Linked DNA regions of Lonchura striata. The protein of the gene in region 4 interacts with the protein of the main gene of each other region in a pairwise test. Links are inferred from orthologs where the notes say so. Each region holds a gene or a part of one and is shown on either strand. Other genes may lie near its edges. The genes, in order: KANSL1, C4H4orf46, TBC1D22B and CDR2.

Evidence for each region.
Region 1: the proteins of CDR2 (region 4) and KANSL1 interact in binary tests that used the Homo sapiens proteins (3 or more experiments, as listed by UniProt). The two-hybrid records come from large-scale screens. The link is inferred for Lonchura striata from reciprocal best matches to the Homo sapiens genes CDR2 and KANSL1.
Region 2: the proteins of CDR2 (region 4) and C4H4orf46 interact in binary tests that used the Homo sapiens proteins (3 or more experiments, as listed by UniProt). The two-hybrid records come from large-scale screens. The link is inferred for Lonchura striata from reciprocal best matches to the Homo sapiens genes CDR2 and C4orf46.
Region 3: the proteins of CDR2 (region 4) and TBC1D22B interact in binary tests that used the Homo sapiens proteins (3 or more experiments, as listed by UniProt). The link is inferred for Lonchura striata from reciprocal best matches to the Homo sapiens genes CDR2 and TBC1D22B.

What each region holds. Positions count from the first base shown.
Region 1 is NC_134627.1:8,850,469-8,857,554, reverse strand, and holds the start of KANSL1 (KAT8 regulatory NSL complex subunit 1), read left to right. Parts: upstream 1-4,066; 5' UTR 4,067-4,224; intron 4,225-7,086. UniProt on the Homo sapiens protein: Non-catalytic component of the NSL histone acetyltransferase complex, a multiprotein complex that mediates histone H4 acetylation at 'Lys-5'- and 'Lys-8' (H4K5ac and H4K8ac) at transcription start sites and promotes transcription initiation.
Region 2 is NC_134606.1:40,736,375-40,743,766, reverse strand, and holds C4H4orf46 (renal cancer differentiation gene 1 protein), read right to left. Parts: upstream 2,694-7,392; 5' UTR 2,688-2,693; coding exon 2,526-2,687; intron 2,434-2,525; coding exon 2,278-2,433; 3' UTR 505-2,277; downstream 1-504. Other genes in the region: ETFDH (electron transfer flavoprotein-ubiquinone oxidoreductase, mitochondrial), read left to right, coding at 2,918-2,951, 4,824-4,970, 5,373-5,602, 6,508-6,589, 6,881-6,999, 7,317-7,392.
Region 3 is NC_134632.1:4,739,982-4,746,996, reverse strand, and holds the start of TBC1D22B (TBC1 domain family member 22B), read left to right. Parts: upstream 1-4,000; 5' UTR 4,001-4,039; coding exon 4,040-4,095; intron 4,096-7,015. Other genes in the region: protein PHTF1, read left to right, coding at 1-61, 452-547, 1,120-1,245, 1,595-1,615. UniProt on the Homo sapiens protein: May act as a GTPase-activating protein for Rab family protein(s).
Region 4 is NC_134618.1:10,739,973-10,747,132, reverse strand, and holds the start of CDR2 (cerebellar degeneration-related protein 2), read left to right. Parts: upstream 1-4,158; 5' UTR 4,159-4,304; coding exon 4,305-4,383; intron 4,384-7,160. Other genes in the region: transmembrane protein 180-like, read right to left, coding at 512-664.

The DNA.
Region 1 (7,086 bases), on a different chromosome or scaffold from region 4:
TAAAAGAGGTTAAACGTGCCCTGCACTTTGGATCAGCTGGGTCTGGAGGGCTGATGGGTTGTTGATGGTGGAGCGGGGATCTCACCGGGGATCTCCCGGCGCTGGGGCAGCCCCGGGTGCTGCCCCTCCTGAGCCTTCCTGGGACCCGGAGCCTTCCCTGGGACCCGGAGCCTTCGTGGGGCCCGGAGCCTTCCTGGGGCCCGGAGCCTTCGTGGGGCCGGGCTCGGCTCTGCGCCCCGGCCTCTCCTGCTCTGCTGCTCCAGGGCCCCACATCCCTCACCAGAGGAGTCCGACAGCACCTCCAGCTAGGGTCTGCGGGCAGCACTTGTGGAATAATTACCCTGTTAATTGGCTTCCTTTCTCTTCCCAGCATATTTTCTAAACAAAAAGCAGGAGGAAGCAGGTGCTATTTACTTTTCCATAATGAATGTTGTTCATGTGGGGACCAGAGACCCAGGAATTGTGGGGCCCTTTTTCCTTTTTATTTCTTCCCTGAAAACTGCTTACTGCAGTTCAACCCCTTGGAAAAAGCTCTTAATTGAGCTGGGATGTTCAAAGGATGTTTTGTGCTATTTGGAAGATCTAATACGTAAAAACATTCCTGGCTTTGTATGTTCATCCTACCTTAAAGGCATTTTCTTTTTTTCCCAAGAATCCAGGGTTGCATTTAGCCCTCGCTGCTTTTACATTCTAAGGAAAGACACAAAATTAGTATTGAAGGACTAAAATTTGGCTCTTTGAGGAGGTACAGAGAGGAAGAGGCTGAGCATGGAGGCACTGGCAGGCAGGTGAGCAAGTGTTCACTGAAGAGAATTAATGAACTGTCACTTTCTTACAACAAAACTGGAGGAATGCAAAGCGTGGGTGTGGTGTTACTATTTGCATTGAAACAATGTAATTTGTCCTTGATTTTTTTTTTTTTTTTTTTTTTTTTTGCTTTTCTTGATTTTTTTTTAATTTCAAAAATTGTACAGTCCTAGGGGGAAAAAATTCTTTTCTGTTAATATATTTGCAATTCATGAAAGGATGTGGAAAATCCAAATAAATTACTTTTAAAAGCAGGCTTAGCCCCAGGTGCTTTGGGTCAGGGGTGGGATTTGTCCTTCAGAAGCTGGGCGAGCCACAGAGGTTGGGAAAGGTTTAAGGGCACCTTGGGGTGCACAGGGCTCTTTTCTGTCCTGTGCTACCTGAGCCTCCACGTGTCACCTGTAAATCTCCCACAGCCTTCCACGTGGGCTGCAGGGTCCTGGCTGGAATTTTGGGTGAGGTGGGGGGTGTGATGTGGGTGTGAAATGGGTGTAGGGACCTGGAGCTGCTGCAGCAGGTCCAGAGGAGCCCCGGGGCTGCTCCGGGGCTGGAGCCCCTCTGGAGCCAGGCTGGGAGAGCTGGGGGGGCTCTCCTGGAGAGGAGAAGCTCCAGGGAGAGCTCAGAGCCCCTGCAGGGCCTGAAGGGGCTCCAGGAGAGCTGGAGAGGGACTGGGGACAAGGATGGAGGGACAGGACACAGGGAATGGCTCCTGCCATGTGTCCATCTGCTGCCCGAGGGCAGGAATGAACGGGATACTGGGGAGAAATCCTTCCTGGTGAGGCCCTGGCACAGGCTGCCCAGAGAAGTTGCTGCTCATCCTCACTTTCCATCCTGCAGCAAGAGATGCAAAAAGCTCTTGGGTATGGAGCAGGTTAGTGTTATTTTCTTTTTTTCCTGCCTTCTGTAGCAAGTCCCCACCCTGTGGCTGCAGCTGTTGTTGCTCAGCAGAGAAATTAATTATCACAGTCTCTTACTGTTCCAGACCTGGAGGAAAAGCAGAAATTCCTCCTGCTGCATGTAGGCATCTTGGATTGAACCTTTTATTGCTCATTTTGCCCAACCTAATCCAGTCATTTCTGAGAGCTGAGTTTGGTGTACAGTGCTCAGTACAAGCAGCACTGAGATGAACCCGTTCCAGCTGCTCCCCCGTTTTCTCCCATGTCCTGATGGTCCTGGCCATTTGTTCCTGTCTGGGGTCACTGAGTGCCCACCCCACAACAAGAGCCGAGCTGTTCTGTGCCCCACTGCAGCCTCTGGTGTGGGCTGGGGCTGGCTGATGCAGCTGGGCTCTGTGTGGTGGCACCAGGAGCTGTTTAGGAGCACCTACATCTCACTGAGGTTTGCACTCGTTCTCTTGGTCACTAACTGTTGCTGCAACATCTTATTTTCTGTCCCTCTGCCCAAGTCTGTGACTTTGTTTGAGTGAGAGCTGATCCACGAGCACAAACTGCTTTTTATTTCTAGTGGAGCAGAACTGTTTTTTTCTAAGGCAGGGATCCCAGTGCTTTTAGACTTTGTCACCTGAGAATAAGGTCATAGTCTGGATTTTCCTGGATAACCAGGAAAAACAACCAGGTTGTTTCATGTTCCCTGAGGAAGGGAGAGCAAGGACAGTGACTGCAGCTGCTCTGTGTGGATCAGGATCCAAACACACTTTGAGAGTGTGTTTGGAGCATCTCAAACTTCCTTCCAGTCCTGAATGGGGCTTAGAAAAAAAGAGGGAGAGTAACCTTGTACACAGGTAGATAGAACAAGAAGGGGAACCACTTCAACCTGGGAGAGAATTAGATTAGATATTAGGAGGAAATTCTTTACTCAGAGTTTGGCAAGGCCCTGGCACAGGTGCCCAGAGCAGCCCCTGGATCCCTGGAATGTCCCAGGCCAGGCTGGATGGGTTTGGAGCAGCCTGGGCCAGTGGAAGGTGTCCCTGCCATGGCAGGGTGGCGCTGGATGGGCTCCGAGGTCCCTTCCCAGCCAAACCATTCCAGGATTCCATGATCCTCTCCCAGCCCTGCTGTCCCAAGAGTGAGCAGTGAAGGAGCTCACCTGCATTTTGGCCTGTGGGACATGGATCAAGTCTTTTATTGGAGTTATACCTGGCCCGTGACTGGATAAAAACTAAAAGACGAATTGAAAAGGCAAGAGTGGCAGCAGCTGGAGGGCTGTGCCCACAGCAGCGCTCAGGAGCAGCCATTGGGGAGTTTTCTGTGTCTAGAGGAGATGGCAGTGCGACGGCCCCGGGGTCACCGGGGACCGGGGGGCGTCCCGTGCCTCGGGGACAGGGCGAGCGGTGCCACGGCCCCGCTGCCCCGTGGGACAGGGACACGGGCCCGGTGCCACCCGCGGCCAGGGCCCGGCGGGACCGCAGCCCTCGCCACCCGTGCCGGGGCTCGCCGTCCCGGCGGGGCCTCCCGGGCCCCCGGCCGGTCCCTCCCCGCTGCGGGACCCGCGCCCCCCGGCTCCCGCCCCGGTGCCACCCGCGGGACACCGGCTCCCCGTGTCCCCCCGCCCGGTGCTCCCGCGGCCTGGCCGGACCCGCGGCCGCCCCGGGCGGGGTGGCGCGCCCGGGTCCGCCCGTGGGGGCCGGGCCCGGGGCCGGTGGCCCGGGGGGCGCGGGCGGGGGGGGCGCGGGGCAGGGGCCGAGCGGCGGCACCGCATCAATCACCGCCCGCCCCGCCCCCCGCGCTGATTGACGCGGCCGCAGCCAATGGGGCGCGCCCATGCCCCGCGCGCAGCCAATGGGCGCGGGGGAGGGCGGAAGGTGCCCGCTTGAAGGCGGCGGAGCGGCGCAGGTAGGAGCGGGCGGGGGGCGCGCGGCGGCCGCGGGCCGGGGGCGCGCACGGCCCGGGGGTCGCGGCCCCGGCCCCGCCCCGGCCCCGCCCCGGCCCCGCCGTCCCGCGACTTGGCTGCGGGGGCCGGGCCGCGGCGGGGCCGGGAGGGGCGGGCGGCTGCTCCCGCCCGGGAGCCGGGGGTCGCGGGCAGGGTCGCGGCGGGCCCGGGGCGCCGGGAGCGCTCCGCCCCGCCGCGCTGCCCCGCGGGACCGGGCCCGGTCGGCTCCGAGCGGAGCGGGGTCCCCCCGCCCGCCCCGCGCCTCCATTTTAGCCCGGGGAAGCGAGGCCGGGCCCGGGGGGCTTCTGGAAGGATCGGGGGTGGCGGCGGCCCCGGGCCCGCGCCCCGAGCGCTGCCGGGCCCGGCCCGAGCCCGCGGCGGGATGGAGCTGACGGCGGGAGGGGGCGGCGGGCCCCTTGTGACAGCCCTCTCTGTCCCCAGCTCCCGCACTTCCCCACCTCCTCGAGTAAATCGGTAAGAAACTTGCATCCCGCCGGCGGCGGCTGGAAGGATCCGGAGGCCGTCCCGGGCTGCCCACCTGGAGCGCAGGTGTGAGCGAGGATGGGCCTGGCCAGGATGCCCAGCAAGGTACGTCCCGCCTGCCCCGCTCCCCGGCTGCCCGGGGCTCCGCTCCCGGCGCCGGCCCGCTCGGTGTGCCCAGCTGCCCTGCCGGGTGCTGCCTGGGCTCCTGACCCTGCAGGGTGACGCTGGAGCCCTGCACGTAGTTTCTTGGCTGATGCACAACTTTAAAATGGAGGTTTGGTATGATGGCTGGAAGTGTGGATTCATCCTGTGCGTGCACAGGGTGCTTCTCTCTCCAAAGCCATTCCAGTGCCTGTAGTGAAGAGATGTGGAGGCTCCTCTCAGGAGCATGTGTGTGTATTTTCAGGTGTTACCTGTCCTTGTGTGCCGCAGCATCGAGACATCAAGGCATGACTTGCCCAGAAAAAGAAAGATCTCCTGCTTTTTTTTCCCCTCTCTTTATTGTTTTCATCCTTAAACCCCAGGTTTACACTCTAAGGTCCTTTATACTTCCTGATTTGATCTGGTTTATGTATGTATTTATAGTATCAAAAGAGTTTTGTGTACACCTGTCAGAGGGGCTTTGTCCTGTGGAAACCAAAGGTCTAAAGCTGGAGTTTCCTGCTCACATTTCTGTTTCTCTGGTTTCCCGGTGTGTGAAGCAGCCGTGGTGCTCCTGGGTCCAGAGTGGAGCCTGGCGAGGCTTTGCTGGTGCTTCTTCAGAAAATTGGCCTCTTGCCTTGCCGATGTTATTGCACATTACAAATGTGTCCTAAACACTCAGGTACAGGAATTGAGCTCTGTGCAGCTGAATAAAACCTGAAGAGAAGTGCTAAAGGGAAGGATATTTCCCTCTTTTCATAAATCTACAAGTCAAAGCAGCCTGACTTTAGGCCAATTATTGAGGCTGAATTTAGACAAATTCTCTTGTAATGGGAAAACCAAAAATCTTATTTCAATCCGTTCACACTGACCCTACCCAAATCTGCTGTGGTATCTGATCTTCAGTCGGCCAACACAGCAGCAAAGCTCTTGCTCTTTGTACACGGAATAACACTGAGTTGTTTTATGGGCTTTAAAAGTGGAATTAAATCTCCCTGTTGTGGGTTTTGGCAGGAAGGGCCCCGGGAGGGTGCCCTGGATCCTCTGTGCCTCCCGTGAGCTGGCAGGAGCTGGGAGAAGGAGCAGTGCCTGCGTGTGCTGCTGGGGCACTCGGCGTGTCCGGCCACCACATCCCTCGGCAGCTCTGCTGCTGAGGGGTGTTTGCTTCTGGAGGGCAGATCTTGCTGGACCTTGATTTTTGGAGTGTGTTGAGCGTGTCACAAGTTGAATTGCTTTACTGCTCTGCTAGGATCTGTCTGAGGGCCTTTCTCACTGTGACCCCCACTTGTGCTCAAGCTCCTGGCACCTGGCATTGCCACAGTCTGCAGTGTTTTACTGTCACAGTTTGCAGTGTTCTATTGCCACAGTTTGCAGTGCTTTACTGTCACAGGAGAGACCAGCTCCGTTCCAGCCCTTGAGTTCTGTGAAGCCTCCTCAGAGGGGCAGGAGGTCTGTGGGAGCAGAGGAGCAGGAAGCCCTGCCTGCTCCTTCCCAGGGGATGTGCTGCTCCAGCTCTGCCTGTGCCCTGCTCACACAACGGGGACTCGCTGCCTTCTCCGCCCCATTGCCATTCCCCTGTGGTTGCCTGGGCTCCGATTCTCCCATGCTGGACTTGTGATAGGAAGTATTGGTATTAAGAGCAGGTAGAGTCTTGTTGTTGTGTTTTTTAGTGGCCATCCATTTTTCCCACATTCAGGATGTTTCCCAAACAGAAATAGCATGGGTTTAGGCTCAAAAGTCATAAATAATAACACTTAAGAGTTATTTTATGTACTGATATGCATATAGTTACTGTATAGAGACTATTAAATTTCTGAGGCAGGTCCAATCAGAGGAAGTGAGGAGGATTAATAGGTGGAAAGATGAGGTAACAATTAGGTGTGCATAGCTGGGTACACAGCCCTCACCAGATATTGTGTTTTGGGTGTTCTGGATGCTTGGCAGAACAGGACAGTTCGAAGGATGTAAAAATGGGGCTTCACTGGGGAGAGCTGCTCTTGTTCATGGGGGCATCTCCAGATCAGGAACATCCTGTGTGAGGGACAGGTAGGTGGCTGGCCCTGGAGTGGCCAGGTGACCAGTTGTAGCACAGTTTTGAGTGGGAAACAGACTGGCAGGACCATAGAAGGTACATGTGTAATTTTACACTGCACAGCAATTTCTGCTACTCATCTCCAGGTCAGGCTGGACGATGGAAGCTGCAGCTGTGTCTGTGCTGCAGGAAGATCCAGACCTGTACTGGAATGTCAAGCTGGAATCTGGGCTCTTGGTCTGTGCCTCAGCAGAAAGTCCTGCACTGCACAGTGAACAAAAGATCAGAAGCTTTATTGCACAGGAATTTCTTTTAACTTCCTCCACAACAGATTGTCCTCACTCTTCTGTTCCAGTATAAAACCACATTTGTTGCTACTTCTGCTTTTTAGCTGAGCCCTAATTCAAGGTAGATTAAAAAAACCAATAACACCAGAGGTTCGCACGCCATCGTAGGGTCCTGTGTCCCTAAAATTCTCTCTAAGCGGGGCGAGGAGATCAGGACAGAGTGTGCAGCTGCTGAGTTCCTCATGCTGTTGTCTTTCAGAAAAGGTATTTTTGTTACCCTTAAGAATAGCTAGTGTTCACTGTGTGACCCCGCTGGGTGCTGGACGTGGGGTGCTGATAACACACTGCCCGGCTGTCCTCCTTGCCACTGTTCCATCACTGACTTAAACCCACGTTCAAGGTCTCAACACCCATTTTCTTAAGGTACTGCATGAGAGTGCTGAGCCTGGGGAGTGACCAGCACTGAGGAGACAGCTGGGACTGCAAGGGACAGCCCAGGAGTGGAGC
Region 2 (7,392 bases), on a different chromosome or scaffold from region 4:
ATGTAAAGGCAATAGTGAAATTGTAATGATAGTTCTGATACAGGTTGGACAAGCCTTGATCAGCCTGGTCTACTGGGAGGTGTCCCTGCCCATGGCAGGGAGAGGCTGGGACTAGATGATCTTTAAGATTCTGATTCAGGCAGAACCAGAACTATGATGAAGAAATAAACAAAAATTAGAGGTTTGTTTTGTTTGGTTGGTTTTTTTCCTAAGTGAGTATCCCCCAGCTTTAACTGGTGGCAGTTTCCCCCGTCTTACTCTGGAAAGACTGGACTGAGTATACCAGCACTTTGCTGCTTCTCTTTTCCTCACTTTTCTTAACAGGCTACCAAAAGTTGCTCACCACAGCTTGCAGACTTCAACAAATTCCAGTCTTAAGATGTATCTCCATGAACAAGGGAGATGGTCAAATAGAAAATTATCAGTCTTAATAGGTGTCACGGCTCACTTTGAGCATGACTGGATGCATTATAGTTAGAGTAATTGAAAGACCGCAGACATTCAGCACTTTTTGAAGCATTATTTTACTTCCCAGAATTACAAGGGTAAAATACAAAATATCCTATCTGAAACAATCCCCTAGAGGCAGTTCCTTCACACATTTTTACTGAAGAGAATGTTTTCTATTATGAATTATTACAGCTTCCCTTCTTCTTTCAGTACCGTATTCAGTCTGATGGCCTAGAAGCCCAAAAAGGTAAAAAAAAGCTCTTTTTTCTGTGTTGATTTGAAACTATTTAAAATTAAGTTAAAAGATACTTACAATGTTTGCACTTAACTTCTTAGCAGTATAAGAAGTAGAATTTTGAAAAAGTGTGGCTCACACTTCAACTGTTTACAGAACTTTGGATTATCTTTGGATTTGAAACTGAAGATTGTTAAGCATCTTGTTTCCACTACTGTATGTTCTATTGAAATAAAGTATTATCTGCTGAACAAAATTACTTCTTTTCCAAGATGTCTAGCAACATTTCGGGTTGTAGGGGTTAAAAACACCTAAGCAAAATCCTGCCACATGGATTATCTTTAGCTAGGACAATTAGAATTCAATTCAATAGAACTTCCTTACTCAGGGGCCATCCCTCTCAAGGACTGCAACTGCCTTTGGTGAGATGTACAACAATCCCCGACCTTGCCATTACCTGGTTTTCACTCCACGTGATTATGGTTATATTCACTGTCACCTTTGTTTCTATCAGTAACACAATAATAGTAGATACTTCATAATTTTTGCAACTTCTTTATTGTTTTGATAAGCAAGCTGCAGTGGGTCTTCCTCAAAGTCCTGTAAGTAAAAACAAGTCATAGCAGAGTCACATTCTCCTGCAGCCTGCCATTGCATCTCAGCATTACTTTTTTTCAGTGCCTGGTAAAGGTACAGGAGTGTCAGGACAGCTATTTATTACAGCTCAGCCATCTTTCAGACCAAAAGGTTCTATTAATTCTAAGCTCTAGACTATCAAACTAGTCACTACTTAAGGCAAAGATAAAAAACAGGACCAAATACTGAAAAAGCTCTGAAGTGCTTCCCCAGCGACAGGAGAGAATACATGTCACAGATTCTATTCTAACTAATAGAAGCTTTTACTTAGAGATCAAAATAATTCATCCTATCAGTAAACAATGCTGCTAAACTTCTACCCTGCAGATATATATTGTCCATGATAAGGCACTTTATTACAACAAAAGGTAGGGTAAAATTGTTTGCAGTAATAAAACATCTTGCAAAAAAGAATCTGCAGCTTTATTGACATACATTGTAATACTGCTAAAAATAGTAAAGTTTGGGATATAGAATTTTTCTACAGCTCATAAATAAGCCACAACTTGCCGCATTATCCCATACTCAACATAAAGAAAAAGTGTGTGTAACAAAAAACTGAAGTTGATTGAAGTTTTTCTGGGGTTGGCCGGGTTTCTGCTGGTGACAGCTCTTAAAAAGGAAGGCTGACAATCCTTTATCACTTCCCTACAAGTAATGAGTTCTGAACGTAACACACATACTTTGTATCTACCACACTAACACGAAAGAGATAAAAATGAGAGAATAAGATCGCTTGAGCTTCAACGAAGAATCTAAAAGTCAAAACTGATTCCCTAAACGAAGTTTTTTTTTTCTTCGGTAGACTAACATAAAACGTCCATACGAGAGCCCCCAAGTATTTGTGAAAGAGGTCGGGGGGAACACAAAACTCCACGTGAGGTCCCCAAGGCAGCGGCCGCGAGGAGCCCCGCCGCAGCGCGGGCCGGGCGGGCGGCTCGGCGGGCAGGGCCGCGTCAGCCGCTGGGCTTCAGGGACTCGTAGCCCTCCCTCAGCAGGTCCCGCCACGTCCTGAGGAACCGGGCGTTCTCCGAGCACCTCGTGGCCAGCTCCTCCACCTGGGCCGACACGGCCGACGTCGCCTCCAGGATCTTCGCCAGCGAGAAGGCGGCCTGGAGGGACGGCAGAGAGGTTGGGGGTCGCCGGCGCCCGGCAGCCCCCCCGAGGGGCCCGAGCCCGCCCGAGGGCAGCGCGCCGCACTCACATCGCCGATCTGCAGCTCCACCTCCTCCAGCAGCTCCCGCGTGTCGCCGCCGGGCAGCTCCGGCGGCCGCGACCCCTCGCTCCCGCCGCGCACCCTGCGGGGCTGGGCGCCGGGCGAGCCCTCGGGCACCGCCGCGGGCGGCAGCGGCCCCGCCTCGGCCATGTCCCGCTCGGCGCTCCCGCCGAGCGCCGCCCACGGCACGCCCGGGCCGCTCCCGCCGAGCGCCGCCCGCAGCGCGGATGGGCGGCGGCGGCCGCGGGCGGCGCTGGGAGCTGTAGTCCTGCCGCCGGGACGGGGCGGAGCCGTGGCCGGCGCGCAGGCGCGGCAGGGCCGGGGCCGGCGGGGTGTGCGCGGGGCGGACGCAGAAGCGAGAGGTGCCCGGGGCCGCTGCGATGCTGCTCCGCCGCTGCCCGTCCGCCGGCCGAGGTAACGCGCCGGGGCCGGCTGGAGGGCCCGGGGCCTCGTCCCGGGCTGGGCAGGGCCGGGCTGGGACGGCCGCTCGTGCGGCGGGTGGGGCCGGCGGCTGGCGCGGCGCCGAGGCAGAGCAAAGGTCGCGGCCGGGTCGCGCCGGTGTCCGGGCGGGCGCGGGGCCGGACCGGGGCCGGCTGCGGGCCCGCGGCTGCCCCGCGGCTCCCCCTGCCCGGGGCCTCTGTGCGCCCGGAGGCGGCGGGACAGCGCCGTGCGGAGCGCTGCCCGCGGCCCGGCTCTGGGCTGCCGACACGGGCCGCTCACCTGCGGCGGCGTGCCGAAAGAGATGGGCGGGATTTTTGAGCGGCGCGAGGTGTCACCCGCTTTAGAGGGTGAACTAAAGCACTGGCACGAGTGTCCTTGCTTGGGAAGTAGTTGTGGCGACAGCATCCCGACAGCTGTTACTGAAGAGCTGCCGCAAAGTTTCTCCTTGGCCATGTAGGCGTTTCCCATCGCTTGTCGAGTCCCTGCGCTCTCAGTAGCGTCGTGGCCCAGGCACTGTGTGCTTGCTGGGGAAGAATCTGCCCGTCCAGCGTTTGCACCCACCTCTGTTATTATCAGAGGTGTTCGGAGCAGAGTTTCACTTCTTTTGCATATGTGCAAATTAATTGATTTTTTATATATATATATGCTGTGTGATTCTTAGTACCATCAGTTATGGTCAAATAAAAAAAATCCTGAAAGTTAAGTTAAAGTTTCATAATATATATATGAGTGTAGCTGTTACCAACCTTATAGAATGCTTGTTCTCAGATCCTGCTTGGTTGCAGGTAAAGGATAACTAAGAATTATGAGGTGATATGATAATAGTTTTTATGTTATATTGGTTAAGGTACAAAATTCTTGTCAAGGAGCCAACATGGATAATAATTGCTACCTCGCATTTAGAGACCTCTGTTCTGTCACCAGGACACAAGATGCTTGTGCTGACCTTGCCAATTGCCATTCTCAACTAAATATCTCAGTCATAGCACACTGGTGATTTCACTTATGTAGTTTTGCAGAAATACTCCACTTTAAATGTGGTACTAGTCTTCTTTATCCCTGAAGATAGAGAATTTTTTAAGGAAGGAAAATTATTAGTCAACGTACATTAATTCACAGACCTTTTAACTATAACTAGTTTTCATGCTAGCATTTTTTATTACAAATCACATGCATATTATTTGTTTCTAGAAGAGGGAAATGATGACATGTAATAGCCCTCTGAAAAGATTCCTGGTTTGATAATTTGAAACTTTGTTTTTCATCCATTTCCTTACACAGAAATTCTAATTTGTTCTCACAACAATTATTGTATTTGCAGCAAAGGTAATGGCTACCTGTATCTACTGTTCCTAACTTTGGCTAAGCATACTTGGGTTCAAGTCTGTGCTTTTACTGCAGACTATGGTGTGTACTTTAGAAGCATCATGTGTTGAGATGTCAGAGCTAAACTTGCCTGTCCTGTTTCTACTGTTGCTTGGTCATTTTTAATGCAGCCTGAAATAAACCTTTCGAAGTTCAAAATTAAATCAGAACTTAAAATATGTTTGGCACCTGTGTATACATGCATATTATCCTATGTCAGCTGTGCATGGCTGGCCTGTGTACTGAGTAAAGAATGCTTAAAGAGGAAGCTTATTTTTTTTTCCCTGATAAAAAAATTACACATCATCCTCCTTACCTGAGAATTTAAAAATCTGTGTTTATGGTTCCTCATCTTTACATCACCTGGTAGCCCTTTGGGAGGGGGGGAAGCTGTTATATTTGTTGCACTACTTGTGTCTCTGAAATTTTGAAAAATTTGGAAAACTATTGATTTGACAAAGTTGTTTCTGGTTTTTGCAGCACGTCAGTGCATTCATGCTTTAAAATTGATAAAGAAAGATTGCCTTCTATCGGTGCGTGTCTCACGATGTGCCTCTACCGCCTCTGTGCCTCGCATAACTACACATTACACAATTCATCCTCGGGACAAAGACAAACGATGGGAAGGTAAAAACATTGCATTCTTTAAATGCTTTGTTATTATTATTATTATTATTAATCATTGCTGAGTCTTAAAGACACTAAAATATGTTGCTGGTTTTTTCTCTTCATGGAAATTCTCTATGCTTAAATACAGTACTAATATTTCAAATGACAATTTTGCTTGCAATCTCACAATGAGTGTCTTTAGTGCTATAAAATATTATCAGAAGAAACTTTATGCTTGTTTCCATAAAGAAAATATACAAGCAGCTTTTGGTTTAGTGATTATCATAAGATCTAGTACTAGTCAGTATGTATCTGCTGTTTTTTTCAGTTGCTCTTACCATGAGGGTTTAAGTTCAGTGAGAGAGAGGCTGGAAGAAATTAGAGATTGGCTTATGTTATTATCAATTTTTTCTATTGAAGGGGTAAACATGGAAAGATTTGCAGAAGAAGCTGATGTTGTCGTTGTTGGAGCAGGCCCTGCTGGCCTTTCTGCAGCCATTCGACTCAAACAGCTGGCTGCTGAGCACAGCAAAGAACTGCGTGTTTGTCTGGTGGAAAAGGCTTCTCAGATTGGTGCACATACATTGTCTGGTGCTTGTATTGAGCCAAGGTCCTTAGAAGAACTCTTTCCAGACTGGAAAGAGCGAGGGGTATGTATGAGCATGTCAACACCAAAGTTCATTACTAGATTGTAATGAACTTCATATTTGACTGATTCTGGCACGAATTAGTACCTGGTAGCATTAGTAATTAATACCGTTTTAAAATACATTGATGGAACAAAACAAAAATGGGTACCTTCTTTTTAGTATGTTTCCTGTAGTTCAACAATGCTAAATGTTTTCTGTCTACACAGACATGCTGTGGCCTTTGCTCTTTTCTGTAGCAGTCCTACTGCATATACACAATCTGAATGGTGCAGCCTGGGGTGCCCTGCACTTGCTGCCTTTGTGCAAAATCCAGCTCTTGTGTACAAGCAGGATGTCTGGTCCTTACCAGTGACAGATATGCTCGATCTGTGCAATAGCTCTTCCTGGAAATGGCACAGAGTAGACTGGCTTCTGTGCAGATACTGTGGTGTAACAAAGGCCTAAGATGATTTTAGGAGGGAAGTCTCAGAACAGCCTGTAACAAAGGCCTAAGATGATTGTAGGAGGAAGGTCCCAGAACAGCCATCTGACTTGCAGACTGCTGCCTGCTTTCACCTGAGAGATGCAAGAAGTCAGCCAACAGCTCTTTGGTTTGCCTTATGGTGATAAATCTGCAACTTGAACTGCCATATTTAAAAAGGTCTAGAATATTGATGTAGCACAGGCCTGTGTACAATAGATGTTATTTGCAAAGCTGTATTTTTTTTTTTACTTCAGTAGTTGTGTTGATTCTTTCCTGATGACTGCATTATAAAGTACTTTATTTGCTCTTTTGTGATACCTTCCCATAGAAGTGCTATACTAAACCTGTACTCTACTGCCAGTTTGATTGTTTGATTTTGTTGTTTGTGTTGTATTGGCGAAGAAAATATAACTCTCTGCTTCTTCTATTTTATTTGTTGTAGGCTCCACTTAATACTCCTGTAACTGAAGACAAGTTTGGAATTTTAACAGAGACATCTAGAATTCCAGTGCCAATTCTTCCAGGTAAAGTTTACTGAGGGAGAAGAGAGTCAACTTCCTCTGTGTCTTTTTGGAGACTTCATGAATCCATGAACTTCTCCATGAATCAAAAGAAGTTTGATTCCGTGTAGTGCAGCAAGTGTATGTAGAGTATAATAGGTTACAGTGATACACTCTGTGTAGGTGATGGCTCTGATAACACATGAGATTAATTTTGAAGGTAGTAGCTGTAGATGTGACATCTACTGTATGCAGCTTTGGTTATTTTGCTTAGTGTCCGATGTGTTATATCTGTGTGTGTCTTTTTTTGCCTAGGACTTCCGATGGTTAATCATGGAAATTACATAGTACGTCTGGGCCACCTTGTGAGTTGGCTAGGTGAACAAGCAGAAGCTTTGGGTGTTGAGATATATCCAGGCTATGCAGCAGCTGAGGTACTAATGACATCAGTGTGTGTTTATGAAAAGTGGCTTAGGAACCCCCTTCAGTGCAGTCATGATCATTTGTACATGTGCAACATTCCTTTTAAGTGATATGTATTGTGAAAACTCTGTTTCTCTGTCTAAATTCCCTGGCTCAGATCCAGCAAAGTGCAGGTGGATCATACAGTGCATGAATAAATACATAATCTTAATGTTTGACCATTTAAGTCATACTGCTTAGAAGTTTTGCTTTAGAACTTTTAATATATAGATTCAAAATACAGTTTCATTACAATGTTTTGTGTTTCTTTGTTTAAATATTTCCAAAGGTACTTTTTCATGAAGATGGTAGTGTGAAAGGGATAGCAACCAATGATGTAGGCATTCAGAAGGATGGAGCACCTA
Region 3 (7,015 bases), on a different chromosome or scaffold from region 4:
ATCTCTGGGCTCTGAGACCAACAAAAAATACAGCAACATTTCCATCCTGCTCACTGAGCAGGTAGCTCCCTTCAGCTTGTTCTCCCCTGGGCTTTGTGGTTTGTTTGGGTATAATTATTGTATTTCAAACCAGCTTAAGTACTGGAATCAAACTTTAAAATGTATGGATCAACCCCTGTGTTGGCCAGAAGGCATCAAAGCACTGGTCAGCATGGGGGGGATGAGCTAGTCCTGTTGGGCCAGACTCAAACTTCAAAGTTCTAGATTATTTTTGTCTCTGGGTTCATGTGTGTTAGCCAAAACAATTGGAAAAAAATTATGTTATCAGTGCTAAATTCACTACTTCAGGAGTGACAGCAGGCTGCAAAAATGGCTCCAATTTCCCTTAGATAGGACTCAGCTGGGGGCTAGTGCTGGAATATCAACCCCTGGCCTGTGGTGTTTGTCACAGATAAACTTGTACCTGAAGATGGAGAAGAAGCCAAACAAGAAGGAGCAGCTCTCTCTGGTGAACAATGTGCTGAAACTGTCCACTAAGCTGCTGAAGGTGAGATGCTGTGCCTGAATGGTTGAATTTGATGGCAGCAGGGAATTATGGCAATGTCATGTGGCCTTCCCTTGGCTCCTGGAGTTAGTGCTCACAGAGGGATTTTTCAGTGCTGCTGCAGCTGGGACGAGAAAGGGAGCAGCACAAGGCCAGTGTGGGTAATTAGTGCTGAGAACTCGATGAGCAGTGGTTTAACTAAGTGAGAGGAGAGGCTGGGTGAGCACAGCTTCTCCTGACTGCTCAGTCTCATTTTTCTTCATCAGCTCTAATGCTGGAGCTCACTGCTAGCAGCAGGGAGAGGATTGGGAAGCAGTGAGCAGAGTCTGAGAGTCCATGGATTGGGCTGGGTGATTCTGCAGCCTGGAGTGTCAGGCTCTGGGGCAGTTGGGGTGCTGCAGAGATTTTGGATTCAGCAGGAGATGTCTCTGGAGCACTGACAATTCCTGTACTTGTATCTAAGAAAGGACACAGAGGCAGCCCAGTCTGTTGGAGTGCCAGTGCTCAGGTAAAAGTCAGAGGATTAATTCTTTGGTGTTTGGGAGTGCTAATGGACCCTTGTCCTGTCACTGCAGGAGCTGGATAGTCCATTCAGGCTGTATGGACTGACCATGAACCCACTGATCTACAACATCACACGGGTTGTCATCCTCTCTGCTGTCTCAGGAGTGATCAGTGACCTGCTGGGGTTCAATATCAGAGTAAGTGTCCCTGTGCCAGCCAGTAGAACATCTCTGGGGTCACTTCTGGGGCCACAGCCCTGAGAGAAGCCTGGGTTTGCACTGGGAACCCAAACACCAGAACCTGCTGGGTGTGTCCCCACCTCCCTGAGCCAGTTCTGGGGGGAAGGACAGGGCTCACTTCAGTTTCAGTTCCCTTCAGGTGAAGCTGTGAGAATCCAGGGTTCCTCCCTTTATCCCAGTCCTCCTGTGGCTCGTCCTGAAACTGGAACTCACTGAGCAGAGCAAGATGGGCAGGAGACACAGAATGTTGCTTGGAGATGAAGACCATTCCTGTTAGACCCAAACTCCCTTTCTTATCTCTTTGCAGTTATGGAAAATTAAACCATGAGCTGGCAGAACATCAGCCCTGGGCATCTCCACCAGACACCAGAGAAGAGAACCAGCAGTGTGGGCAGAAAGAAGAAAACTGACAGAAATCTGTAATTCCAATTTTTAAACAGATTCTCAGTGTATGCATCAGAAGTTTTCTTTCTGCTTTACTGCTCTACAACATCCAGAGTGAACTGGTCTCATCAGTGATGTCATTCCATGGCATGCACAGAAAAACTGGATTAATGGGGCCAAATCCTGGCAGCTGGCACTGAACCAGCAGGAACTGCTGTGGGACACCAAACACTAAAGCCATACCAGAGCTGCAGCTGGGGGGACACCAGTGGCTGTGGCTGGGGCCAGGTTTCTGTAAAATCTGGTCCCTGGGCATGTGGCAAGGAGGGACTGAGCCCTCCTGGCCCAGTCAGCCTTCCTGGGGCTGCACTGGAATATTCCAGGTTGAGAATCCTTTGCTGCACTGAGCTGGCTGTGCTGAAGAGCTTTTCTTTCCCTAAAGCTCTGTGTGCTCAAGGCTCTGCCTCCATCCTGAAGCAGCCCAGGATGCACCAGGTGAATTCCCCTGAATTCCCCTTCCCTGCTGCCAATCCCAAATCCTGCTGGTGGCTTGTGCTGCAAAGAAATGATCAGTGTTTTTGGAGGAGAGCGGTTACAGGAGAAAAAACTCCCAACACACAACAGGCAAGGTTCACGAGCTGGAGGATGTTTTGCCACATCTGTTCCCTGGAATGCTCAGCTCCATCCTGTCCTGGCTGGGACAGCAGCTCTGCTCCGTGCTCAGCTGTTGCAGCCCAGCACTGCAATAGAGCCTCACCCTGAACACCTGGGGAGGAAATCTGGGGGAAAAACCAGTTTTGGCAAAGACTTCCTCAGGTTCACGCTTAGAAAGGTCGTGGAGAACAAGAGAACATTTGAAGGCTTCTGCAACATTTCACTGGCTCCAATAGCTCCTATTTATTAGTAGTGAAAAGAGCAAAAACGGAGGAAATTCTCATTCCTTCACGGGAGGGTGAAATGGCAGAAGAATTTTTGGTAGTAAATTGTTTACAGCTATTTTCTGTACAAGGAAAAATTGTGAGATGTAAAAGGAGGTGACATTTTTATATAGCAAAATGTGCAAATAAACCTGCAGGACAAGCACTTCATCGTTACCAACGGTTTCTACAGCAATTGATGATTTTTATACCATCTTTTTGAACATCTGTTACTGGAATGGGGGGGTCAATATCCAATAATAAATTACATTTATTTTCCAGAACGGCAACATGTTTGTGGGTAAAATCTGGCTCACACCCCTGAAAGCCAACCAAGACCGTGGTTTAGACAGTGCAGAACCAACAGGCCGTGAACTGGAGTTGGGTTTTAAGATCTGTGTAAAAATAATGAGTGATTTGCAGGTGTCTGCAGTCAGAACCTCAGGAGTGTGTGTGCAGGAGATAAATGTTCACACCCAGCACATCCAGCCATTGTGTAGCATTCCAAGGCCATGTGCATGCAGGAAGCGCAGAGGAAGGTCTTGGGAAGGGAAATCCCACACAGGTAGGGCTTGTTTGGGTTTTGACTCGTACAATGTACACATACTCTTATTTTCTATATGTGTATGGTTTTCCTTTTCATTTATTTTTGCTTTTTTTGCAGTTCTTTGTGCTGCAGGTGTTTGGTATTTACTATGGGGTGGCAGTAGGAAAAGATTTTGTCCCTTAATTTGCATATACAATAGACTATTTGCATAATTACTCATTAATAATTATTCTTCAGTGCTCCATATGGGAGTAAGTGGGGTGGAGAATAATAGTAATAATATGAGAGGTGTTACTCCAATCTGGAGCACTATTTATGGGCTTTTTGCACTATAAATAAAAAGAAGACAAATAATAGCGTCTGGTGCAGAAAATGCCATTAATTAAAAATTAAGTTTTTAATTTATTTAATTCTAAAAGTCTGAACAGAAACTGCTCCAGGTGTCAGACCGAAGCAGGCACCTCACCGGACCTAAAACCCCACACGACAGGCGAGCGGGATCCAGGGCGGGAATGGAACCGCGCCGCGAATTCCCTGGAAAAGCAGAAAATCCCAAAAACCCCGAAAATGTCATTCAGCCCCCCCCGGCAGGAGCCGGGTGGTGCCGCCCGCGTCCCCCCCGCGCCCCCCATGGTCTCTCCCACCCTACCGGCGCAGCAAGCCCCGCCCCCTCCCGCGCGTCGCGGCTGTGCCCGCCTGCGATTGGTGGATCCGCGACGCCTCGCGCGCAGCGGCCAATGGCGGCGCCGGGCCCGGCCGGAGCCAAGATGGCGGCGGCGCGGGCTGCGGGCGGGCGGGCCTGAGGCGGCTGCGGGGGCCGCGCCTTGCTCCGCGCCCGGGGCCGGCCGGCCGGGGGTCTCCGCTCCCCGCCCGCCGGCCCGCCGGGCCCGCCCCGCCCTCCGCCATGGCGGCCGAGAGCGGCAGGCAGTTCTGGAAGCGCAGCGCCAAGCTGCCGGGCAGGTGAGCCCCGGGAAGGGGTGTGAGGGCCGCGCCCCCCCTGCGCTCCGGCCGGGGAAGGCGCTGTCACCCGGCCTGGTTCGGGGGCTGAGGGGAAAGGTCGGGGGTGCCAGAAGGATCTGGCCCGGCTGCGGGGCTGAGGAGCTGGTTGGGGGTTCCTCCCTGGAATTGGGGGGATGCCAGGGCCACCCCAGGTGTGGGAAGGTGATTTTGCTGCGGGAAGGTTCAATGTACAGGGGACAGGGGCAGGGGCAGAGCTGCTCCCCCATCTGTGGGACAGGGCAGGCGGTGTGGGGCTGCGGGGACGCCCTGTGTGCCCCCTGTGGGAAGCAGGATGGAGGGAGCAGGATGCCTTGGAGGCCTCTTTGGGGCAGGTCAGAGCCAGGGCTGTACCCTCCTCCTTCCCACAGCAACTGAAGGAAACTCGTCCTTCCCAAAGTCCTCAGGGGTGTCGCCTTGGGTGGCAGCAGCTGTGTCCCAAAGGGGTGTCCCTGGTAACCCTAACATTACCCTGAGCTCTGTGGGATGGCGCTCCTGGTCCCCCTCTGCTCAAGGGGAAGGACTTGGAGGGCTCTGGTTATACCTCCCCTGCCTCGGTTCCTCTGGCTGTGATGTTCCTCTCAGGGATGGGAGAAACAAGCGAAATGAGTGATTGACATGGTGCTTGGGAAGAAGAGGCTGGTGCTGATGGAGAGGCTCCCTACAGCGCCTCGGGAGCAAGGCTGATGTGGAAAGAGGGCATCAGCCTCTCTGTGGAGGCTTCTCAAGTGCTTTTCCTGCCTGGTGCTCCTCACTTTTGCTCTCATTTGCCTTATCTGAACCCTGCCCTTCGCCTCCTGGGGTATGGGTGCAGTCTGAAATGCTTAGTAAGTTTTAAATCCTGCTGGCCCAGTTGAATATCTCTTTCTGAAGTGCTTTCACTCATCTGCTTGTCATGTGCAGCTCCTTCAGGTTGGCTGAACATGTCTGTGGTAAGCAGAGGGAGAGCAAGGGGCTCTGTTCCTCCTCTGCTGCCCCTGTGGGAGGAGAATCCTGTGCTTTCCCTGGGTTATTTCCCAGCTGTTCCTGCCTCTTACCCGAAGCTGTCAGCCATGCTCTCAGCTGGTGGTCGTGGACAGCACCTTCTCCTCTTCTCCTTTTGGTGACTTCTGAGCTTTCCTTGGAAACTCAAACCAGGTGAACCGGTCTGGCCGGCAGCCGGGCCTGCCTGAGACGCTGCACGGGGAAGGTTTTGGCAGTGCTCTCTCCTCCTCCTGCCTGCCTGCTTGGCAGGTCTCCTGCATCCTTGTTCCCTCCTGTGTGCTGGCTCTTTCCAGGGACAGCCACCAACAGGTCCTCAGCAGCCTGATTCCGAGGGTGAGGTGGGATGTCCTTCACCCATGGTCACTAAACATCAACCTCCCTTTCTTCTTTTTTGTCTGAGCTTTGAGAGACCCTCCTGTACAGATTCTTGGCTCTCTCCTTTCTTTCCCCTGACAATCTGGCAGAGGGAGGCTTTGTAGGGACTTGGATACTGTGTTAGCTTCCTTTTCCATGACACTTTGTGTGTTTGGTCACTTAGTTGTATTAGCTTTTATTTGCTGATAAAGTTTATTTGCTTTTGCTCCCTGTAGATTTAGGGTGGATTTTAGGTGTAAGTTTAGAACTGGTAAATGCTGTTTTGTTTTTACAGCGCTGTCTTGTGGCTTTTTTGCACTGGGAATTTTCTGCCTGGTAATTTTCTAGGGATGTGTTGGCCGAGTGCTCTGGCGTATTGTGATGTGTTGTTTATTCCCTGCTCTTTAGAGAGATGGGCAGGCAAGGTCTGCTGGGGTTATTTAAATGCTGTTTTAAAAGGGGAGAAACAGCCTGCTGGAAGTAAATGTGTGTGTGTCCAGTGGCAGTGGTGTTTCAGGCTGTGCTCTGCTGCAGTGTCAATAGCCCACACCCTGTGATGATCCTGGGAGGTGTCACACAGGGAGCACAGCCTTTGTACCTCACACCATTGGTCACCCCTTGTACCCTACACTGAGCATCCAGGGAGCAGGAAATGCCTGTCCCAAAGGGTTTAAACTGGGACAGAACAGGGCACTCGTCCAGTCAGGCTGGGAGCACAGCTTAGATCAGCTTGAGATTCTTCTTGGAGAGTGTCTGGCTTGTAAGGCTTCAAGAAGAGCTGTGTGCAGGTGGCACCCTCTGCCATTGTGTCAAACATTGATTCAGAACCCCAGGAAAGGGTTTCCTCCCCCAGCACTGGCTGCCCATCCCCTCCTCTCTCTAACACACATCCTTCATGGGTCTTGTGAAGCCCAGGCCTTCCCAGGCTGGTCAAGCAGTTCCCCTCTGGCAGCCTGTGGGTCCCTGACAGGGAGGAGGAACCTTGCTGGACATCCTGGGACAGTGTGAGTTTGGTTCTGGGCATGGGAGAGAGAGGCTCTGCTGGCTGCTGTGCTGCAGGGAGCTGCCACACGTCCCTGGGAAGCAATGCTGCTCTGGAGGGCTTGTTCTCACTCCTCATCATCTCTTTGCTATGTCCACGTGGAGGTGCCTCTGCTTAATTGCAGTCCTGACTTCCAGGTGCTCATTAGTCATCACATTCTGTCCTAGGCTTAATCCTCGATGGATAAACTCTGTGAGGACTTCCAGCCACGAGGGACAACCACTGCAGTGGTGAGCCCACCCCTGGCTGGGCTGCTCCACCAGGATCTCTCTGTGCTGTGGTTGTTTCCAGCCTCTTCCCTGGCTCTCTGCATCTCTCCCCTGCCAGCTGGACCTGTTGCTTTTGCATCCTCAGCTTGTTCCCAGCTGCACCAGGCTGCCATCCCTCTCTTCTGTGGCTGGGCTCTGCTGATTTTACTGCTGGGCACCATCTGCAGCTCCTAGAAACCAGGCCAGCTCTATTGACCCAAGAGAAGCTTGTTCCTTGTGTGCCAGCTCTGAAAGG
Region 4 (7,160 bases):
ATAAACTGTCTCTAAGACTCCAGTCTTTCAAAACCTTCTATATTTGTGCTTTCATCCTGCAAAGCTCAGATATGATTCTCACAGTTGGTTAATTCAAAACATGAGCTGGCCCATTACTTTCAGGAGACCATTTACAACGTGAGTTACTCACATGGATAATGACTTCCAGGATAAATGCAGTATTCAAGTACTTAAACTGTTCATAGGAAAGCACTAATGTCAAACTTATCTATGGACCTGATGTGCAAAATCAGTTTAGAAAATTACTTAAAGCTATGAAATGTAAAAATCTTTTCAGCAATTAACTCTGGAGATTTTTACTCTATGGACTGTAAATTATGTGCTTTATATATAAGTTCCATTGCTTATGGATTAACTAAAGTCAAAGATAATTTACTGTTAATTAATTGCAATTATTTCAAAATTAATCTGTCATTAAAAGAATCACTTTGTTGTAATAACACTGACGCACAGCACAACATGGTAATCAAAATATTCCATTGTACAGTACCTGTGCTACATGAAATGCCGTTTCTGAAATTTTGTATCGGTTTAGGAAAAGCTTAACGTAGTAGAAATTAAAAATGCTATTCATCATTCCAGCACCCAAGGTAGTCATAGAATATGCCAGTGCATTAGCATGAATTCCCCAAAGAATCTTCATCTTCCAAGAGTACAGCTCTCTTCTTCCTCAAGTTACAAAAGAGAATTACAACAATTAGTAGAATAATTTTCCAAATTAAAATAACATGGGGGATTTGCTCGTTTCAGAGGTGCTGAACTACTGGAGGAAAATGTTCCCATTCTTCCTTTTTTTTTACAATCAGAAACACATTTTACTGAGTTACAAGACACTGAGCCCAAAATAATAAGTTATTAGGTGACATTTCTAAGTATAATCAGTACTTAAAAGTCAATGGAACAAGTAGACAAAAATTTGAAAGAAACCCTTCCTAATTGATGTATTGACTCCACTTAAAAACCTACTTTTGCAAACACTCATTTTGGTGTAGAGTTCAAAGTAATTACTTACATTTTAGATCTTTCTTGCTAGCTATATATTCTTAAAATTATGGACTGTGTTGGAATGAAGTGACTCAACTCTTTATGTATTCCAATGCTATGAATGTCAAGTGCAGCATGCACGTAGGTATTTCTTTCAAAACAAATACTAAATTTTGCCCTTCTATTTTAAAATACTAATGGTTAAGAAGCCATGGAAGCAATATTTTCACCTAATAAACCATAAAACAATTAAACCAAAACACCTTTAAATTAACATTTCCATGGTATGGAAGAGTGCATGTAAATAAAACGTAGCAAGTAGCAAACACACCATTTTATGTATGCCCAAGTATCAGACATTTCTTTAATCTGCCATTCAGAGATTCAGCCAACAAATTTTTAAGATGCTGATCTTTTCCATCAATTAGCATGTTTGGTGTAAACAGTGCCATGAAAGGAGCCAGCTCCAGGGAATCTCTACCTTTTAAAGCTATTTAATAGCTACCTAAAAGTAGCCTTTGACCATACTTGATTCTATAAGCCCAATACAAAATTACTCCCAGGTATCTGTTTTTTAATTGAGGCTTTATTCATTTTTACATCTGTTGAAGGAAGCTGCCATTAATTTTGATACGTCAAGTTCAAATTTCAGCCTTACTATGCAAAGCTTTACAACCTGCTTTATGTCAATAGTTCACACTTTGCTCCTCTGCATATCAACAATTTTACGTAAATGCAATTTTCACATGTCCATCAAAACACCTACTTTGAATATCTGCTTGATCAGCAGCTCTATAAGCAGCTCCCTGAACTCCTCATAAAAATAACCATGGAAGAAACAGGAAATGAAAGCCAAGGCTCTTTCCAGCCTTCCTGAGGTTTACAAGGCGGCTGAAGAGAGGAAGGGAGGAACTTCCGAATCACCGGGCAAGGACCATGCCAAAGCCACAATCAGGTAGGGACTGGGAAGATGAACAGGCAGGTTTTCCATCCCCCCCACCACGGGAAATGAGCTCTTGAAGAGCAAATAAATTGTGGATGCACATTTGCATATATAAGATGCTGTGATATGAAACAAAGCTAAGAAAAAAGTCAAGCTGACAAACAACTAGAAGCCTAGCATTCCTTTTATTAAAGCAAATTTGTTTCTAAGAATATGACTGATTTTTAAAAATATTTAAGGATAACCATTATGTATATCTTCAAACTTATTTTTCTGCACCTGTAAAGACAATACATTTTCAGGGGAGAAAATTTTGCATTTTTGCAGCAAGTTTGGTTTCACAGTCTTTTACTGAGAAACCTAAAATGCAGGAAAAGGTTATTGAAAAGATGTAAAATTGAAATGTTTATTTTTAAAAATAAGTTTGATATTAATACGAAAATCATTACAATGAGTATGTTATTGGCAAGTGCCACATTTGCTTTTTCAAGCCTTCACAAATATACTTAACGGAATTATTTATATAGTGGATATTAGGGCTTTTGGAAAAGTAGACACTTCACTTCTATTTCTACCTGGAGCACCCTGCACAAGTCTTCAAAATGGAGAACTCGGAAACTTTACTTTCCTTCAAATTCCACAAGCACCAAGAATACAAGTGCTTCACACTAACTTTACCAGCATGAGTTCTAAATTGTTTTACTCGATTCCTTCTGACACAAATAAAAAAAAAAAATTGGTCCCCTCAGTTTCAGAAAATTTGAAAGATGTTTGGTATTTCTTCAATAAAAATTTTCTTACAATGCACAAACTGGTCCCTAGTACCATGACTAATTGTAATATGCAGGATCTGACACAACTCTACCCTAATTGGTACATCTGGTCAAGCACCTTGTTTATGAAACAGGTTCAATTAGAAGTTGAGGTACCACACTTCCTTCCCCAGATGTTCCCTTTAATAGCACTACAATGGAATCATGCATGAGCATCCCCTCCCTCTTCTTAATAGTCAGCCTTTATATTCAGCAGGTTAAAGCACTGGTGAACATTTCGTGACTCACAGAAGGCAAATGGGTTTCAGAAATTTCTAGTGGTTACAACCGTGTTAATACTCAAGAGGCCGAAAGAACAGGCTGTTAGGGCCAGTGAGATGCAGTGTCACATTACCTGCGATTCTCCCACAGCAGGATGACAACTGCTAAAAGAAATTAGAGCAAGAGTCTAAAGAAGAAAAGTGGATTCCGAGAGATAATAGCAAACGTTGCCTGAGGGGCACTAGCTGCCATCCTGCTCTGCCGTTCTGGGTCCCAAACCGCTGTGCAATGCTCACAGCCCTGACAGACTGGTTGGACGCACGATCTTCCTCATCCCTCTGACGCGACTGGCAGCACATTAGGACGGAAAGCAGAAGGAACGCGGTGCTAGTGCCGAGGGGCAGCGCTGAGGGGAGGCGCTCAGCGGCGCTCCCGGAGGCGGCCGGGCTGCCCCGCCGAGCCCGAGCTGCGGGCTGCACCCTTGGAAGGGCTCCTCTGTCAAAAACAGGGACGTTCGGCTCGTTTTTCAGCAGATCCCGGGAGAGGACACACGGCTCCCTCCGCTTTGTGCGGTAAAGAGGCGACAGCGAGCGGCGGCCGCTCGAGGGAGGTGCGGGGATGGAGCCAGCCCTCTTCGGACTGCAGGCTCCCCGGTCCGCCCTTCCCTCCCGCACTCCGGCCCGCACCTGGACGCCACGCCACGCTGCTCCTCACGGGCTCTGCCCTCAGCGCTCCCAACACGGGGCAACAGCGAGCCTCGGCTTTCCCTACGCCAAGTCGCACTGCCCCACCCCAGCCTGTGTCAGCTCTGCTCCGCCACAAGCCGCAGCCGACATCCCTCAGTAACAGCCCCCCACCATGCACGTCCCCGAGCGCCGGCGACCACCGCCCTTTCCAGAGGCACCGACCCACCTCTTCTGACGGGAGGCTGCGCACCGCGAGCCGGGGGGGCGCGGCTGCCCCGGGCCCACCCTCTCTTCGCTCTCATTGGTCGCTTGATATGGATTCGCGTTATGATTGGTGTAGCCTCCTTTCGGTCTGTGCGGCGCGCGGCTCCCCATTGGCTGCCCGCCGGCGGGGCGAGGCGAGGATGCCGTGTTTGAATCGCGGGAGGCGGGGGGCGGGCAGCGGCTGCCACGTTGCCGCCGGCGCAGCCCGGCCAGAAGGGGGAGAGGTTCGGCAAAGTCCGGAACCGCTCGGCAATGGCCGGAGGCGGCTGCTGAGGCGGGGAGCGGCTGCCGGCTCGCTCTGCCCCGCTCGGCGCAAGGGGCATCGTGGGGTGGGCGCTGCCGGCTCAGCCGCCCGTGAGGGAAAGGGGCGCGATGCTGGCCGACAGCCTGGTGGAGGAGTTCGAAATCCGAGAGGATGAGCCCTGGTACGACCAGCAGGACCTGCAGCAAGGTGAGCCGGGGCGGCGGCGGGGGGCGTGTGAGGGAGGGTGTGCGAGGGCAGGGGCCGCGTTGAGCGGGGCGGGTGAGGCGAGGAGCTGCGGGGCAGCGCCGGGCGCGGGCTGTGCGCGGGGGGCCGCGGCGGCACGGCGGCGGCACGGCGGGGCGCCGGGCGGGGCGGGGCCGGGCGGCGGCGGGCGCGTCGGTCGTGCCGGGCTCGGAGCGGCGGAGCTCGGGATCCCCGCACGGCCGCTTCCCGCCGCCGCGGGATCGCTGTCACCGGTAACGACTGCGGTCTTTGTCTGAGGGAAGGAGGTGCGGCAGCCCAGCGGAATGGTGCCGGGGTCCCTCTCCGCCCGGGGGGAGGGAAGCGGCTCCCCGGAAAGTTGCACCTTGCGCAGAACGTGAAGGTGCCTTGTTCAGGGCTGGTGCTGGAAGCGCCGGGGTCTGATGCGCTATTGCGCCCTGTTGAGCTCTTTGTCAGGGTTTCCACTCGATGAAGTTGTAGTCGTAGGAATGCTCGATTAGTCGCAGGTTCATTATTAGAAACTCTTTAGGCTGTCTTATTAAAATATCAAATAACTCCGCTACGCCTCAGAAAAACACAAGTATAGCTTCTGTATGTAATTCCATCAGTAGGTCTTAAAACACTACATGCAACACGTAAATGCTGTTCATTTCACAAATGAGTAAGGAGCCATAGGAATACAAGATTGCACTAAAAATCTTTTAACAGGCATGATACGGAAAGAATGTGCAATTTCCTTAAGAGCTTAGTGGCATTTATGACTGGTATTTACTTAAGTTACTTAGTTCTACTTTTTGTTCTTAATCCCGAGTTTGTTTTGAAAGGCGAGTGCAAAGCTGTGGCTTCCTGCAAACCTACTCCAGTTTTACACGTTTTGCTTTTATATTGAAATACATTAATTCTTGGGATTGGTGGGTGCTGCTGGACTGTAAACCATAGAGAAAGCTAAGCAGTATTCACACTGAGATCAGGTATCTGACCGCAGAAACTATTTTTGAGACGAGGCCAGGTCTCTCTAATTGTACGCTATAAAAAATAGCTAACTGAAAGCTGTATTTAGGTACTCCTCACCCAAAACTGAAGTTTTCCTGGCTCTAGGATACAAACAAATCAGTTAAAATAAGATCCTGAAACTACAGTTTGCTGTCAAAAGGGAGAGAGTGAAAAGTTTGAAGGCATAATTCAGTAATGTTTTTACTATGTCAGTGTTTATGGAGTTGAAGATGTGCAAAAACACTTTACAATGTATAACAACTGACTTCTTGTCGTTTCTCTGCTTTCATCTTTTAATTAAAATGAGTGGAATAATCACTCTGCTGTCGGCTTTTAAGAAACAGTATTCCATTCTAGAGGTTTAGTGCATTTTGGGGATTTGGTTGATGTACCCTCAACACATGGACACAATCTTTCTGGGGATTCTCTCTTTTTCCTAAATGGAAGCCATGAATAGCCTTGCCAAAAGCAAAAAGAGAAAAATAAAGTGATGAGCAAGTTGAAATGCAAAGAAGAAATTCCTTACAGGAACGTTTTTTAAATGTTGTGCTGTACTTTATTTCTGGGCTCTGAAGGATACTACTCCTGCTGCTAAGGCTAAGACACACGGATGTGTAAACAGGGTAGTAAGTGCTTATCAAGGTCTCGTGAAACTCTTCACAACCCAAACAATCAGTGCATGTTTAAAAACCGATGAGTATGGCTATGAGAACCTAGGTTGTAAAACATTAGAAAGCACCTTGAAACATGCTTGAAGTCCTTGTCAATTGGTCTTTGAAACTTAAAATGAGGGTAGGGGTTTTGGAGAACTCGACAGTCTTCCTACGCACCAAAGATTTTTGCCTAGACAATGGAGATGGGCTTTTCTGGCATACTGCTCATGCATAAAGTGCTCATGGAATTCTTGTGAGGATGGGAACAGACATCCTTCTGCGATGTTTGCTGAAGTATGCTGACCTTTAAAAAAGAATTTATATGGACTGCTCTTTTTGCATCTTGCTGTTACTCACTTTTATAGAACAGAGGGTATTCTGAATACAGAACAGGAAATAGGAAACTAAGTAGATTAAAAAAAATAATTTTACAATTAAGTAAACTTACACTAGGCTTACTTTTACATTTTGCACAATTAGTGCCTGTTGCTGTTTAAAAGACTAGGCTAATTTTAGACTGAAAATTCTCTTAATAATTTTGTTAGGTGGGTTATGAATAAGCAGAAGAGAAGGATTTTGGTATTGTTTTTATCTTTTTTTCAATGATGGTAATGCAGTCTGAAGAGATTGTGAAGCACTGCTGAGGGTTGTTCAACATCACAGAAGACATCTTTGAAGTCTTGTCTTGGAGATTTCTGATGGAGCTGTTAAACACCAGTACAACTAATCAGATTTACTAAAACAAAGATCTTTAGATTTGCATATATGCATTTTGCATTATTAAAAATCTCTCTGCTTCTGTCTTTATGGTGAAAAGGAAAAAGGCATGTCTGTCAGAATTTAGCTTTGCTTTGCATAAATTTACAACAGAAAATGCAATTCTGCTTCTAGTGTTCTACCATAACTCTCTCCAGAGAAATGTAAATTAATACTTCCCATTTTGTATCTGGAAAACATACATGGCACATCTCTCTTGTAAAATTTGCTCTTTGTAGGGCTTCCAGGTACATGACACTGTGGAAAATGGATGCAAAAAAAAAAAAAAATCTGAATTTTAGAAGAGATTAAATTATTTCAGTACTTGCTTTCTCTAGAGTTGAGGTTTTATTGTGTGTT